Linked DNA regions of Rhinolophus ferrumequinum. The main gene of each other region encodes a partner of the protein of the gene in region 2 in a complex. Links are inferred from orthologs where the notes say so. Each region holds a gene or a part of one and is shown on either strand. Other genes may lie near its edges.

Region 1 (6,424 bases), on a different chromosome or scaffold from region 2:
AGCAGGAGAGTATTACTCAAGTTATGTTTTTAAAAGCTCATTTTGGCCACTCCTGGGGGGAATGGATTGAAGGAAACGAGTGGAACTAGGGAGACCACTGGGAGGCTCATCCTTCAAGCTAGAGATGATGGTGGCTTGGCCATGATGGTGGTGGTTTAGTGAAAATGGAGAGAAGCAGACACATTCAAGACTTGGCTTTTGTAGGTGAATCTCAGGACTCAGTGCTAGATTGGAAGTGGCGGGGGGAGGAGGGATAAGAGATAAGGCGATCTGAAGGATTACTCCCAGGCTTGAATAATTGTGTGGATACTCACTATTTTGTGTTGGGGGAGATTAAGAGTTTAGTTTTGAACATGGTAAATTTGAAATGCCTCTGAGACATTCAAGTGTTTAAACTGTCAGGCAGGCAGTTGGAAATACCAGCTTTGAGCCCAGAGGAGAGTCTAGATTGGAGATACACTCTTGGGAGTCATGTGTATATGGGTGCATTTAAATCCATGATATTGAATGAGATCACCGAGGGAAAAAGTACAGAGACACTTAGGGCCAACGACAGGGACAGCAGCATTTAAAGGTTACAATAAAAAGGTGACAGCCAAGAGACCTGATAAAGAGGTGCCAGAGAGGTGAGAAGAAAACAAATCAATGGTGGTATCTTAGTAGCTAAGAAGGAAGAAGTAAGGCACTATTGAAGGAGGGAGTGGTAAACTATTGAAAATAACGGAAAGGGCAGGCCAGATGGGAAATAAAAAGGAGCCTTTAATTTAGCAACAAATAAGTCATTGTATAGGAAGAGAAATTCTGGTGGAGGGGTTTGAGTGAAAGCCATGTTGGAACAGGTTGAAGAGTACATGAGAGCTGGGGGAGCAGATGGCAGGTATAGAGAGTTTGTGAATGGAGCAGAGCAATTGGGCAGTAACTGGAGGTGGGCTGGGGGGAATCTCGAAGATGCAGATCCTAACTGATACATGTGCCAATGGGAATGAGTCAGCTGAGAGGAAGAAAAGGTTGCTTCAGAGGACAGAGGGGATGATCAAAGGAGCAAAGCCATAGAGAAAGAGGAAAGGACGTTGGGGTCTACAGCAGCATCTTCAAATTCTTTTGTTCATGTACTCCCACAAATAATAAAATGAACAAACAAAAAAAACAATGTACCCTCTCACCCATTTGTAGTTAATGCCTAAATATTTTCATAATTGTAAATATTTGTAAAGGACACACTTTCTACCTACCGTGTTTCCCTGAAAATAAGACCTAGCTGGACAATCAGCTCTAATGCATCTTTTGGAGCAAAAATTAATATATGACTGGGTATATTATATTATATTATATTATATAAGACTGGGTCTTATATTAATTTTTGCTCCAAAATATCCATTAGAGCTGATTGTCCAGCTAGGTCTTATTTTTAGGGGAACACAATATTATATATTATGTATGCTCTTTATTCATTTCTAAAATTCTTTTCTCTTTTGGTATTTCATTCTGGATAATTTCTATTGCTATGTCTTCAAGTTCACCAATCTTTTTACTGCAATGTCTAAACTGTTTTTAATTTCATCCATTGCTTTTTCATCTCAGACATTTTAGTTTTCATCTCTACAAGTTCAATCTGGGTATTGAAAAAATATCTTCCAAGTTTCTACTTAGCTATTTGAATATATGGAATACAGTTATAATAATCGTTTGGATGTCCTTGTCAGGTGACTCATACAGGTATCAGTTCTCAGTTGGTGCCAATTGATTTTCCTCCTCACTCTGGGTCATATTTTCCTGCTTCTTTGCATAACTGGTAATTTTACTAGACCTCAAGCATTGTGAATTTTACATTTTTGAGTGCTGGTTTTGTGTTCCTGTAGATATTTTGGAGGTTTGTTCTGGGATGCAGTTACATTACTTAGAAAGAGTTTGATCCTGTCAGGTCTTGCTTTTAAGATTTGTTAGGTGGGAATGAACAATGTTTAAACTAGGGCTAATGAGTCCTCACTACTGAGGCAAGATCCTTCTGAGAACTCTAACCAATGCTCCATAAATTATGAGGTTTTCCAGTCTGGCTAATGGGAATAGGTAATGTTCCAGCCCTGTGCGACTAGTGGCTACTGTTCCCTCTAATCATTTTGATGGTTCTTTTTCCTTGGTCTTAAATAGTTTCCTCACACTTATATAATGAGCAGTGTTCTGCTGAATACTTGAGGGAAGCCCTTTGCAGATCTCCAGAATTCTCTCTTTCTCTCTCTGCGCACTTTTCTCTTCTCCAGTATTCTGTCCTGAGCACTCTAGCTACCTTGGTTGCCCCAAACTCTGAGCTATCTCCTCAGCTCAGGAAGTCTGCATGGCCCTGCCTGGGTTCTCCCTCCCTGCAATACATCCTGGAAACTCTCTCAAGCAGTAAGCCAGGCAATCATAGGGTCACCTCATTTGTTTCTTGTCCATCAGGATCACTGTCCTTTGTTGTCTTATGTCCAGAGTTGTGAAAACTGTTGTTTCTGTTTGGGGGGTTGTTTTAGAAAGGAGGGTAAATCTGGTTCCTGCTACTCGATCTTGGCTGCAAGGGGAAGTTGTATATGTACTTTAAATATATTTTTGTTCAAACCATGAAGCTTCAGATTTAAATGATTCCATTTCTGGAAAATGTCCACCATATATCCTATTTGCAAAGCCAGTCCTCTGTGTCAAACCCATCAGCCAAATGAGATTGACTTTCCATCAGAAAACGTCAGATTTTGTTTTATTAAAAAAACTTTTTTTAAATTTTGTTTTTCAATTAAAATAAAGAATTCAAATTAAATGGAGAAGGCACAGAATTGAGCTACAGGGCTGTCCCCTTCAAAATTTTTCAAAGCCAACTCTCTAGGCTTTGCTCTCTCAAGGACTTCTTCAAGCCGAGTACTCTCAAGTAGTCCTTTTGTTTTTTTATACTGCAGAGCAATGTGCCAGAGTAGGATTCAAAATGAAGGAGGGAGTCAGTTGGGAAAGTGGAGATCAAGCAGAACTGGCTGACCTAAGGCTCCTTCTTAGGCTGATCAATAAGAGGAGAGGGAACTTATGAAGGAAGAAGTTCTGGAAATCGATTCCCTTAAAAACTGTCTGTGTCTACCTACCTTTTGGAAAAACTTCATGTCGCTGTGGGAATGCAAGCCTTAGTTTGAAGGCCTCTGGTGCAGTGTGTGAAGCCATTGATAGAGCCATTAGTGCTTCCTTTGTTGTAACAGAAGGGATGGGGAGAGAAGCAGGCTGGCGCAGAGGGAGGTAAGTTGGGGACTTCTATCTGATACCTCCAGTTTTCTTTATGAAGGATGAGCTGTCTACTGAAAGTGGAGGTGTGGAAGGTGGAGGGCGTCAGATATCTGGGGAAGGTAGAGAAAGTATGAAATGGTCATTACAAACAATGGAAACTAGTAATTAGAATGGAAACTAGCTAGGCAGGGCTGAGGTTCCAGTTGAGGTTGAAGGTCATGAATTCAGATCTGCATCACTCTGCCCACCTGTGTGATTTTCTTTAGCAATACTGAAGCTCTTATTCAATGTTTGTGAATTTGGTAAAATGCTGATCTTTTTCCTACGCTGAGGAATAACATGAATAACCACACAGAGGCCTGATAATAATTATAAGTTTATCAAAGTCCTTCCAGGGCTCTTCAGCGAAGGTGGCCTGGGACAGCTAGCCGTTTACATAGCACATAATGGCTTTCTTTTGTTTCTCATCTTCCTGGTGAATTGTGTTACAATTTCTTCTCTTAAACATAAATACCTCCACTCCTTGAGTTACCGATGCCCCTATGAACAAGGGTAAGGGTAGAAAGGGTGAGGAATGTCTGCTTTTCCTATCCCCAAGCAAACGGGATCTTGATGCATGGCAGGGGTGCCAGAGGGCTTGGCATTGCCATGTGTATTATCCAAAGCCGAGATGAGGCCACCATGGAATAAAAGAACAGGAATTCTCCAGACAACGGCTGAAGGCTGTAAATCAATGTATCGTCTTTCTTGATACCCCTCCTCTGCCTCCCTGTCCGTCATTCACTGGGAGAAGAATGGAATGAGATGCAGGGGGCTGAGCAAGTTTGGCTTATAAATCTCTTATGAGATGTCGTTTTCAGAATCAGGCTCAAGCTGGGATGTTGCCTAAATACCATGGTATAGCATATGCCATGTGCCAGAATCTAAGATTCTGAGAGTCAAATCAATCTCTGTTTAACGTTGTCACAAAAGCGCCACAGCCATGGAAGGACAGGTTTTCCCACAGTAACAAACTATACCGAGTTACATGTTAAAAACACACCACACATAATCTGTGAGTTCAAGGATCTGTGACACGAATAGGAGAAACACTCTCAAGTCCCAAATGAGTGTCAATGTAGTTGTATTTTAAAGTGTCTCAGTGGTAAGAGACCATTTCTTGAATTTTCCAGACCAAATGTGAATGCTTTGACTGGTTTTCCCTGGCCTCACAGCATGCGTCTAAGCCTCTCCCCACAGGTCCTGGGCCACTGGCTGATTGTAACCACCTACAATAATAACAAAGTGACTAGATCCGCGGAAACTCAAAGGAAATAGAAAATGCTTTAAATCATGCTTTCCAAAATTGGGGCTAGGGAGGCAGGCTGGATTACCCGCTGAAGTGGGGTGTCTGCTGTTGGGTGTAGGCCATTCTTGGTACGAGGTGAAGTTTTTGATTGCCACTGGGTTCTTCCAGTCCTTTGGGCCCAGAGGCACACAGAACAAATCCAGTCAGTACATCAGCTTCTGTGGCTCCTCTGCCGTCCAGTAGGGTTGTATGGCCATGGCCTGGATGAATGGGACCCAGAAATCCCCGATAAGGTCCTCAGGTGTGCCCAAATCCCTGGTGCCCACCCCGTGCCCTGGCTCTCACATTTCAGTGGTTGTGTTCTGGCAAAGCTTTGGAAGCTCCAGTCCCAGACACCAATGTTGCCCCAGAAAGACACAAAAGAGGGTGTAGAGGAGCAGGTTCTTTCTGGTCCAGGTCCCGGGGGCCCTCCCACAGCACAGGGCAGAAGAACCTCAGTGAGTTGCTGAGAAGTATTGACAATGCTGGACTCTCTTTTGAGTCAAGGCCAGACTTTGCTCATGCTCAGGAGGAAGGGCTTACCTGTCCTCCCTCTGGCTGACTGTCCCAGGTGAGGCCAGGGCTCTCTCAGCCTGGCTGTGTGATAACAGAAGGACATGGTCTGTGGTGCCGAGAAGTCAGGACCCCGAGGAGCAGCCCGAAGCCAGAGAGGCTCAATTCCATTTGGACATGAGGAGAGAGGGGCCCAAGCAGACCCCCACGGGCACAGGTCCAAGTCAGGTCCGACTCACTCCCTCCACTTCCTGGTGTCGAGTCAAATGGGTGGGAGTTATTTATCTTGCAAAGTACCCTGTCCACAGTCTTCTGTCTCTCCCACAATGCCTGTCTCATTTGGGTTTCTGTCCCACTTTTCATGGGCTGCTTGGGGTGCGAGGCGGGTCTCCACAATATAGGATAAAAACAAAACAGCCCAATTTGTCTCCAGCTCTGCCACAGACTGTCCCTGGGAAACTCCCTCCCCCTCTGTAATACTCATCTGTAAAATGGCCTGAGTCAGGGGTTTTCACACCACATGCTGTGCAGGAGTCAGGAGGTTGAGGGGTTCTCCAGGGCCCTCTGAGAGGCACAGCAGAAAAGGAGGCTGAACTGGCTCTGTCCTCCCCCACCCAGCACTCACCAGAGTAGCTGTTTTTTATGTTTTATATACTGTGTTTCTACACAAAGATTCTTTGAAGAAAGGTCCTGAGGCTACAAAGTTTGAAAACTGCTGGAATAGATGATTGTTAAGGTTCCTTCCAGTCTGAGATACGTAAGACTTCTGAAGCCTAGCTCAAGTCATCCCTCTTCCAGGAAGCCTTCCTGGTTACCCAGTCCTGGGTACTTGAGCTCCAGCAATACTGATGGTGACAGGCAGATGCCCTCAGTGACCCACTGATGCTCGTGCAGACGTTTAAGCTGTTTCCCCAGCTACAGGCTGAGCTCTTTGAGGGTAGATGTTGATTTTCCTTCCATGACTCTGTCCCCTTGCAGTACCATATGCAGAGCAGGTATTCAGTAAACTTGCTGATGTTTCTGTCATGAGCTCTCACCTGGGATAAATCTTCCAGAGAGAGTCATTGCTTTGGGGGGGAGGAGTCAGCCTTTGGTCTGCTGAGGGCCACCAGAGAGACCTGTCTTTTGGAAGCTGGGAACCCTACCTGGGGAACAGCTTCAGACTCACACGCGCCCCTATGGGGTAGGCCTGAGTTATTGCTGTCCTCAGTGTCTGGGCGTGGGAGGGGAGCCTCTCTATCAGGCAGGACACATAGGGATGATGGGGGAATTCCAGGCTTGCGCAGAGTAGCTCTCTCTGGAGATGGAAGCCTAAAAGGGGGGGAGGGCAGTTTACTCAGAGACCCC
Region 2 (6,424 bases):
TTCATCCTTGAGTTCACTCAGAAGCACTGCCTGGTGGATACTTCTGAGTGGCTGATTCGGGTTATGTAATTGGATTTTTACAAAATAAGTAATGTCTAATCCTAAAATTTAAAAGCTACAATTGTTTTTAGTTGGATCCCTACTTTATATCACAAACAAAACTTATTTCCAGATACATTAAGGCTTTGAATGTGATCATCAAAACATTAGGAATCTTAGAAGAACATTTGGGAGACTAGACCTACAATCAATCACTGGAGGAGATGTGTAAACCAAGACAGAAAATGAAAGCACTATAAAAAAGGAGAACAGTGACATCAAAATTTGATGAATGAATGACTCAAGATAAGAAATCCACATGCTCTGAAAGGAAAGATAAACATTTTGACCACATAAGTTTGATCTTTGTGTGGCCAAAGATACCATTAATAAAGTCAATAGACAAAAAAAAAAAAAAATACTGTAATGTGATGACAGTTAATGTCTATAACAGAACTCTTAGAAAAGAACCTATTTCTTTTTTAAGGGCCAGGAATATGAAGTGACAAATTCATAAATCTGTATCAGTTGACTTAGAAGGATCTATACATCAAATGAGGAAAAAAATGCAGAAGTCTAAGAAATGCCTTTTTTTTTTTAAAGATTTTTTTTTGGGGGAGCGTGAAGGGGAACAGGACTTTATTGGGGAACAGTGTGTACTTCTGGGATTTTTCCAAGTCAAGTTGTTGGCCTTCCAATCTTAGTTGTGGAGGGCACAGCTCAGCTCCAGGTCCAGTTGCCCGTTGTTAGTTGCAGGGGGCGCAGCTCACCATCCCTTGTGGGAGTCGAACCAACAACCTTGTGGTTGAGAGCCTGTGCTCCAACCGAGCCATCTGGTCACCTGGGAGCTGAGCGGCAGCTCACTGACTTCATTCTAGTTGAGGAGGGTGCAGCTCACTGGCCCATGTGGAAATTGAGCCAGCAGCCCCATTGCCCAGAGCTTGCACTCTAACCAACTGAGCCACCTGTCTGCCCAAGAAATGCCATTTTTGTAAAGGACTCAATGCCTTCTTCCTCTCCGTGTGTGTATGTGAGACAGAGAATGTGAAAAAGAGAACATGAAAGGGAAAGAGGGGTAATGCAAGTGGAAAGACAAGAAAAGATCTCAACTTGAGACCCCATTCTGCACAATTTTTTGGGGGAAAATGTGTGCGTGTATAAATAAACACAAAACCTGTGTGTGTATGTATATGTTCTTATAAAGGTGTACACACTATTGGTTACCTCATTCAGGGGAACCTTTGCCTTTAATCTTTGTATTGTATTGTTTCACTTGCTAGAAAAAGCATCTATTATTTTTAAAATCAAAAAGATTATACAAGACACCAACAACAAACTAATTCTGTTTATGTTACGTATTTACAATGGTATTTTCCCTCTCATCTACCCCTCCATATCCCTCTTAAATTGCTTCAGGAAGCGCCATATCCCTTTGGCTACTCACCTGGCATCTGACATACCAACTGCAACAAGAACTAAGCATTTCAATTCATACATTTCTACAATACAAGCGTTTACTGCTGGCACTTGAGTTTTCTGTCTTGGTTTTTCTGTCACTTCCCACCTTTGTTTTCTTTGCTAAGTCTTTTTGACCCTAAGTACATATATCTTGGGATTCCTTCTGCTGAGTCTTGGGCAATCCCAGGCTCAAGTTTGTGCTGTTATGTTGTCTTTCTCCCAGTTTTCCTTCCATAAAGCAACAGTTTTTTCTAGTGCCTGCAGGCTAAGACCATTATGATTCTAGAGCAGTGTTGTCCAACAAAGATGTAAACCTGTAAGTAATTTTAAATTTGCTAGTAGCTGCATTAAAAGGTAAAAAGAAACAGGTGAAATTAATTCTAATGTATTTTATTTAACCCAATATATCTACAATATTTCAACATGATATTTTAAAAATAAGATATTTTACATTATTTTAAATACAAAGTCTTCAAAATCTAGTTTGTATTTTATACCTATAACTCATCTCAATTTAGACTAGCCACACATGAAGTGCACAATAGCCACATGTGGCTAGTGGCTGTAATATTGGACAACACAGTTCTAGAGGAACCCACCCCTGTGGGCTTTGCAGTTCATAACATTATAGTTCCTCCTCTTTGGAGTATTGCCATTTCCAAACTCATTAAGACTTCAGATTGTAAAGGTGCTGTAAATGTTCAAAGGAACATACTTTATCATTAACTTTCAATAGCTAACCTTTAGGCTGTTTCCAAGACTCAATTCCACCTTAAATGGCTAGATTTCCCATACAGAGCGGATTCAAGCGACAGGAGAATGTAGTAGTAGTTGCTAGTTGAGCTGGAATCTTGACGGCTTATTTACTACCTGCATTGGGCAAATTACATGATCTATGATTCAGTTGTTTTGTCTGTAAAATGGGGATATTTACGGTACCTACTTCATAGATCCTTATGAAGTAAGGATCTCCGTGTGTGTATGTGAGATATTATATATAAAGAGTTAATATATATAAAGCATCTGGCATAGTGCCAGGTACATGGTAAATGTTCAATACATGTTAGCGATTGTTCCAGTAAACTCATTGCAGGCGCTCAGGTAAGTCCCAAGATAACAAAAAATTCTCAACGGTTAAATTACAGCGTGGGTTGAGAACTACGTCTCAGGCCATTTTCGAAGCAGGACCTATGAGCGGACTGACCAAGCCTAAATAAAAAATGCTCCACTCACCTTTTCCTTCCAGACTCCCTGGCCGGCTCTTTCTGGTCAAGGCGCGAGGTAAATAAGGGAAACCTGAAAAGATTTCCTAAGGCCAGGCCACACGGAGACAACTTTTCTGACAGGGTTGAGGGTGGCCCTGCTACCTGGGTACCCTCCTCAACATGAGGTACCGGCCTTAGGCCTAGCACACATCCTGCCCTGCAGCCTGCGTCTGTAGTGAGGGGTCCACCGCGAGAACACGCGCGACTAGGGGTCGGGCGGGGCGGGGCGGGGCCTGCGCTGGCTCCGCCCACCGCCAACCGGGCTTGATTACTGAGCGGACGCGCCAGCCTGACGCCCTGAGGCTCCGCAGCCAATCGGTAAGCGTGGAGCAGTTTCAAATAAAGGCGACGGGTGAACTGGCCGTCAAGTCTTGGGTCTGCGAGGTCATCGTCCTGCGTTCTGTGTTAAAAATGTGGCGGGTGAAAAAACTGAACCTTAGCCTGTCGCCTTCCTCGCAACCGGTGAGCGGGAGAGCCTCCTGGAGAGAGACTGCTGGGTCGAGCCTGGGGTCGGAGGTGGTGGGGTGGGGGGGCCTGTGGAGTGTTCTGTTGATCCTGCCGCTTCCGCGCGCCTGGAGTAGGAGTCTCTTATTGACCTGTGAGCTTCTTAGGGAGGGAGAAAGGGCGGGCTGGCAGACAGAGCCCAGGCTTGCTCACACTTTCCGTTCTTTCTTTCTCAGGGAATACCAGCTATGAGAACTCCTCTCCAAGAACTTAACCTGCAGCCCGGTGCCCTCACCAACTCTGGAAAAGGGCCCCCGATAAGCTACTCGCTGACCCCATCACTGTGCAAACTGGGGCTGCAGGTGAGATTCGCCTAGCCATCTTCTCAACTGGGCTCTTTGCCGAGGCGGAGAGCTCAGAGGAACAGAGGGCCAGAGCTGGAACGTAATTAATAACGATAATGAAGTCTTCTACCTCAGTGACATCCATTTACAGCTATTCAGGCCAACAGAGAGGTGCCCTAGGGTGGTTAAAGAAAATCCACTGAGAACATGCACCTCTATTTAGCTGCTAGATTTTATCACCTCCTCCCCTGTTCAATCTACCGAACTACATAGAAATACTACCACTTTGATTAGTAGTCTCCCTCTAACATGGGCTCCTGCAGAGGTCAGACAGCTGCCAGAGTGAGGCAATAGCCCTCCATCCTATTTTTTCTCTTTCTGATAATGAGAACTATATAGTTTACCATATGTTCCTTCTTGCTCTGGCTACTGGAAAGCTCAGGGTCAAATTTGATCATCAGGTGTAGATAGCTACTGTTACTCCTTGAAATAGGAAGATTTGCTTCCCTTTTTTTGACCATGATTTTGTATTTCATTAACCTGATCAATTGACCAATTGATCTCTGTTCTTTTTCATGAAGTCTGAATTATTTTTGGAAGGAGATGGGATATAAATAAAGTAGGTTAGAGGAGGAAAGAAGAATATATAAAGACAGATGGTAGCCTGAGTACATATGTATGAAGGTAGCAGTCTTTCTTGAAAAACTCTTAACACCTACTGTCTAATAGAATTTTCTGGGATGATGGAAATATTTGATTATTTGTGCTATCCAGTGTGGTAGCTATTAATTACGTGACTGTTGAGCACTTGAAAGGTAGCTAATGTGACTGAGAAACTAAATTTTTAGTTGTATTTAATTTTAATTTAAATAGCTACATGTGGGTAGTGGCTACTATTAATATATTAGCCAGTATAGCTTAGGTAGAAAAGAAATAAGTACTAAGTGGGAAGTGATCTTCATAGAGCGTATAGAATTTAACCATAGTCATTTGATCACAGTAGGAATTTAGGATTCTCTCCTCCTAATTAGAGGGCTTGCTACCTGCTGATATAGTTGGAAAAGAGTTTCTTTGCTATTTAAAATTTTGATTATTTATATAGTGTACATTGTTTGAAACATTTGCACAATATATAAATAATAAGAAAAAATATGTTTCTGTTATCTTAGATAACTACCATAACATATTTGAAAATCCTTTCTTGCATCTCTTTATGTGTGTCTGTTTGTATATGTTGATACATACACACATCCATAGTAGATTATTATACTTTTTTGTCAAGGCATTTTTTTTCCTTTTTTGCTCTCTGTCATTTTTGTTGCTTAGCTTCACTTTTCCTCTGATTTGCCCTTCCTCTGGAATTAATCCCTCCTACACTTGTCCTGCTCGTCCCAAGTAACCAATTCATTTTAACATCCTGTTATGTATCCTTTCATATTTTTTCTGTGTTCTTTTAATAATAACATGCAAACATACAAAATTATTAATCAATCACAATATATAGTCAATTCTTATGAGTAATTATGTTCTATAAAGTCTCTGTGAACACTTAATTAGCAAATACTGAACTGATGCTCCTAGGGAAAACACAGGGTTATGTTCCTGCTGACTTCTGATCAAACATTTGCGTTAACCAATCAATACATAACCTTATTTTATGTGTGTTTATGTTTTAAAACACTTTATCTAATATATATTGTCGATTCATTAACATTGCACTCATGCCTGAATAAAGCTTATGTAATGCACATAAAGCACATCACTGCTTTCTTGCACTTAGCACTTGAGCACTATGTTTGGGGGCCATTTAAAGCAGCAAAATCACCAACAGAAAGCACAGAAATGCGAAAACCCTGGCACTAAATAGATTATGAAAAGCAGTATGACAGCTAAAGTAAGAGGCAGAATGTCACCTTGTTCTCTTTCAGCTGGGAATGTGTGTTTCAGGTGATTCATATTTTTCGCCACTCTGCATGTCCACAGATGATCAAAAGTGCTGCAAATATTGATTTTGGGGTTACAAATAAATTTTAGTGAGTATGCAATTTCACAAATACTGAATGCATAAAAAATGAGGATCGACTGTTTATATTTCTCTGTATGTTGCTTTTTTCATTCAACAATGTGGTGCAAATCCCTCCAAGTCAAAAAAGCACAAAAATGTGAAAACTATGACATAAAGAGTTGATGTGGAACTAATCCATGAGATACTATGGTATGCATGAATCATAATTCATAAATGGTTATTTGTTTCATTTTTTTTGCTTCTATAAACTTAACATAAATATCTTTATGCATATATTAGGTACTGATACTTTTATTTTAATGAGATACGTTTTCAGGAATAGCATTGTTGGGTTGAAGGAAAGATGTTTTTCATTGTAAGAAATTTTGCTAGATTACTATCTGAAATAGTTATTTCTCCAGTATTGTATAAGGATATCCATTTCCCCACATCACTTCTTGTGGTAGTTATTAGAGATCTTTAAAATTTCAGCCAGTCTGATGTGGAATCCCATTGTTATTTTAACTTGCATTTTCTTGACTACCATTGAGTGTATCTTTCTTTATATGTGTGTTGGTTATTTGGATTTGCTCTTTTGTGAAATGCTTATTTTATGTTATTTGCTCATTTTTTTATTGGGTTGTTACCCTTTTTAGTCATTTTATAAGTGTTCTTTGTATATTATAGTCATCCTTTGTCATGCTTTCTAGCTAGTTTATAATTTTCTTTTTTTTATCTTTAATTCAGGGGTTATTTAGGAGTGGTTCCTAATTTCCAAGTGCTTAAAAACCTTTTTCTGTCACTTTTTAAATTTATTTCCTTGCATTATGATCAGATTATAATTTATTTTCTTTGTAGCCAACTATAGG

The links. The genes of interacting proteins can lie anywhere in the genome.
Region 1: SPAG5 (region 2) and KNSTRN share a complex: the UniProt entries of both Homo sapiens proteins name them as parts of the astrin (SPAG5)-kinastrin (SKAP) complex. The link is inferred for Rhinolophus ferrumequinum from reciprocal best matches to the Homo sapiens genes SPAG5 and KNSTRN.

The regions. Positions count from the first base shown.
Region 1 is NC_046289.1:64,663,983-64,670,406, forward strand, and holds the start of KNSTRN (small kinetochore-associated protein), read right to left. Parts: upstream 3,201-6,424; 5' UTR 3,190-3,200; coding exon 3,102-3,189; intron 1-3,101. UniProt on the Homo sapiens protein: Essential component of the mitotic spindle required for faithful chromosome segregation and progression into anaphase.
Region 2 is NC_046304.1:18,834,127-18,840,550, forward strand, and holds the start of SPAG5 (sperm-associated antigen 5), read left to right. Parts: upstream 1-3,084; 5' UTR 3,085-3,173; coding exon 3,174-3,224; intron 3,225-3,442; coding exon 3,443-3,568; intron 3,569-6,424. UniProt on the Homo sapiens protein: Essential component of the mitotic spindle required for normal chromosome segregation and progression into anaphase. Required for chromosome alignment, normal timing of sister chromatid segregation, and maintenance of spindle pole architecture.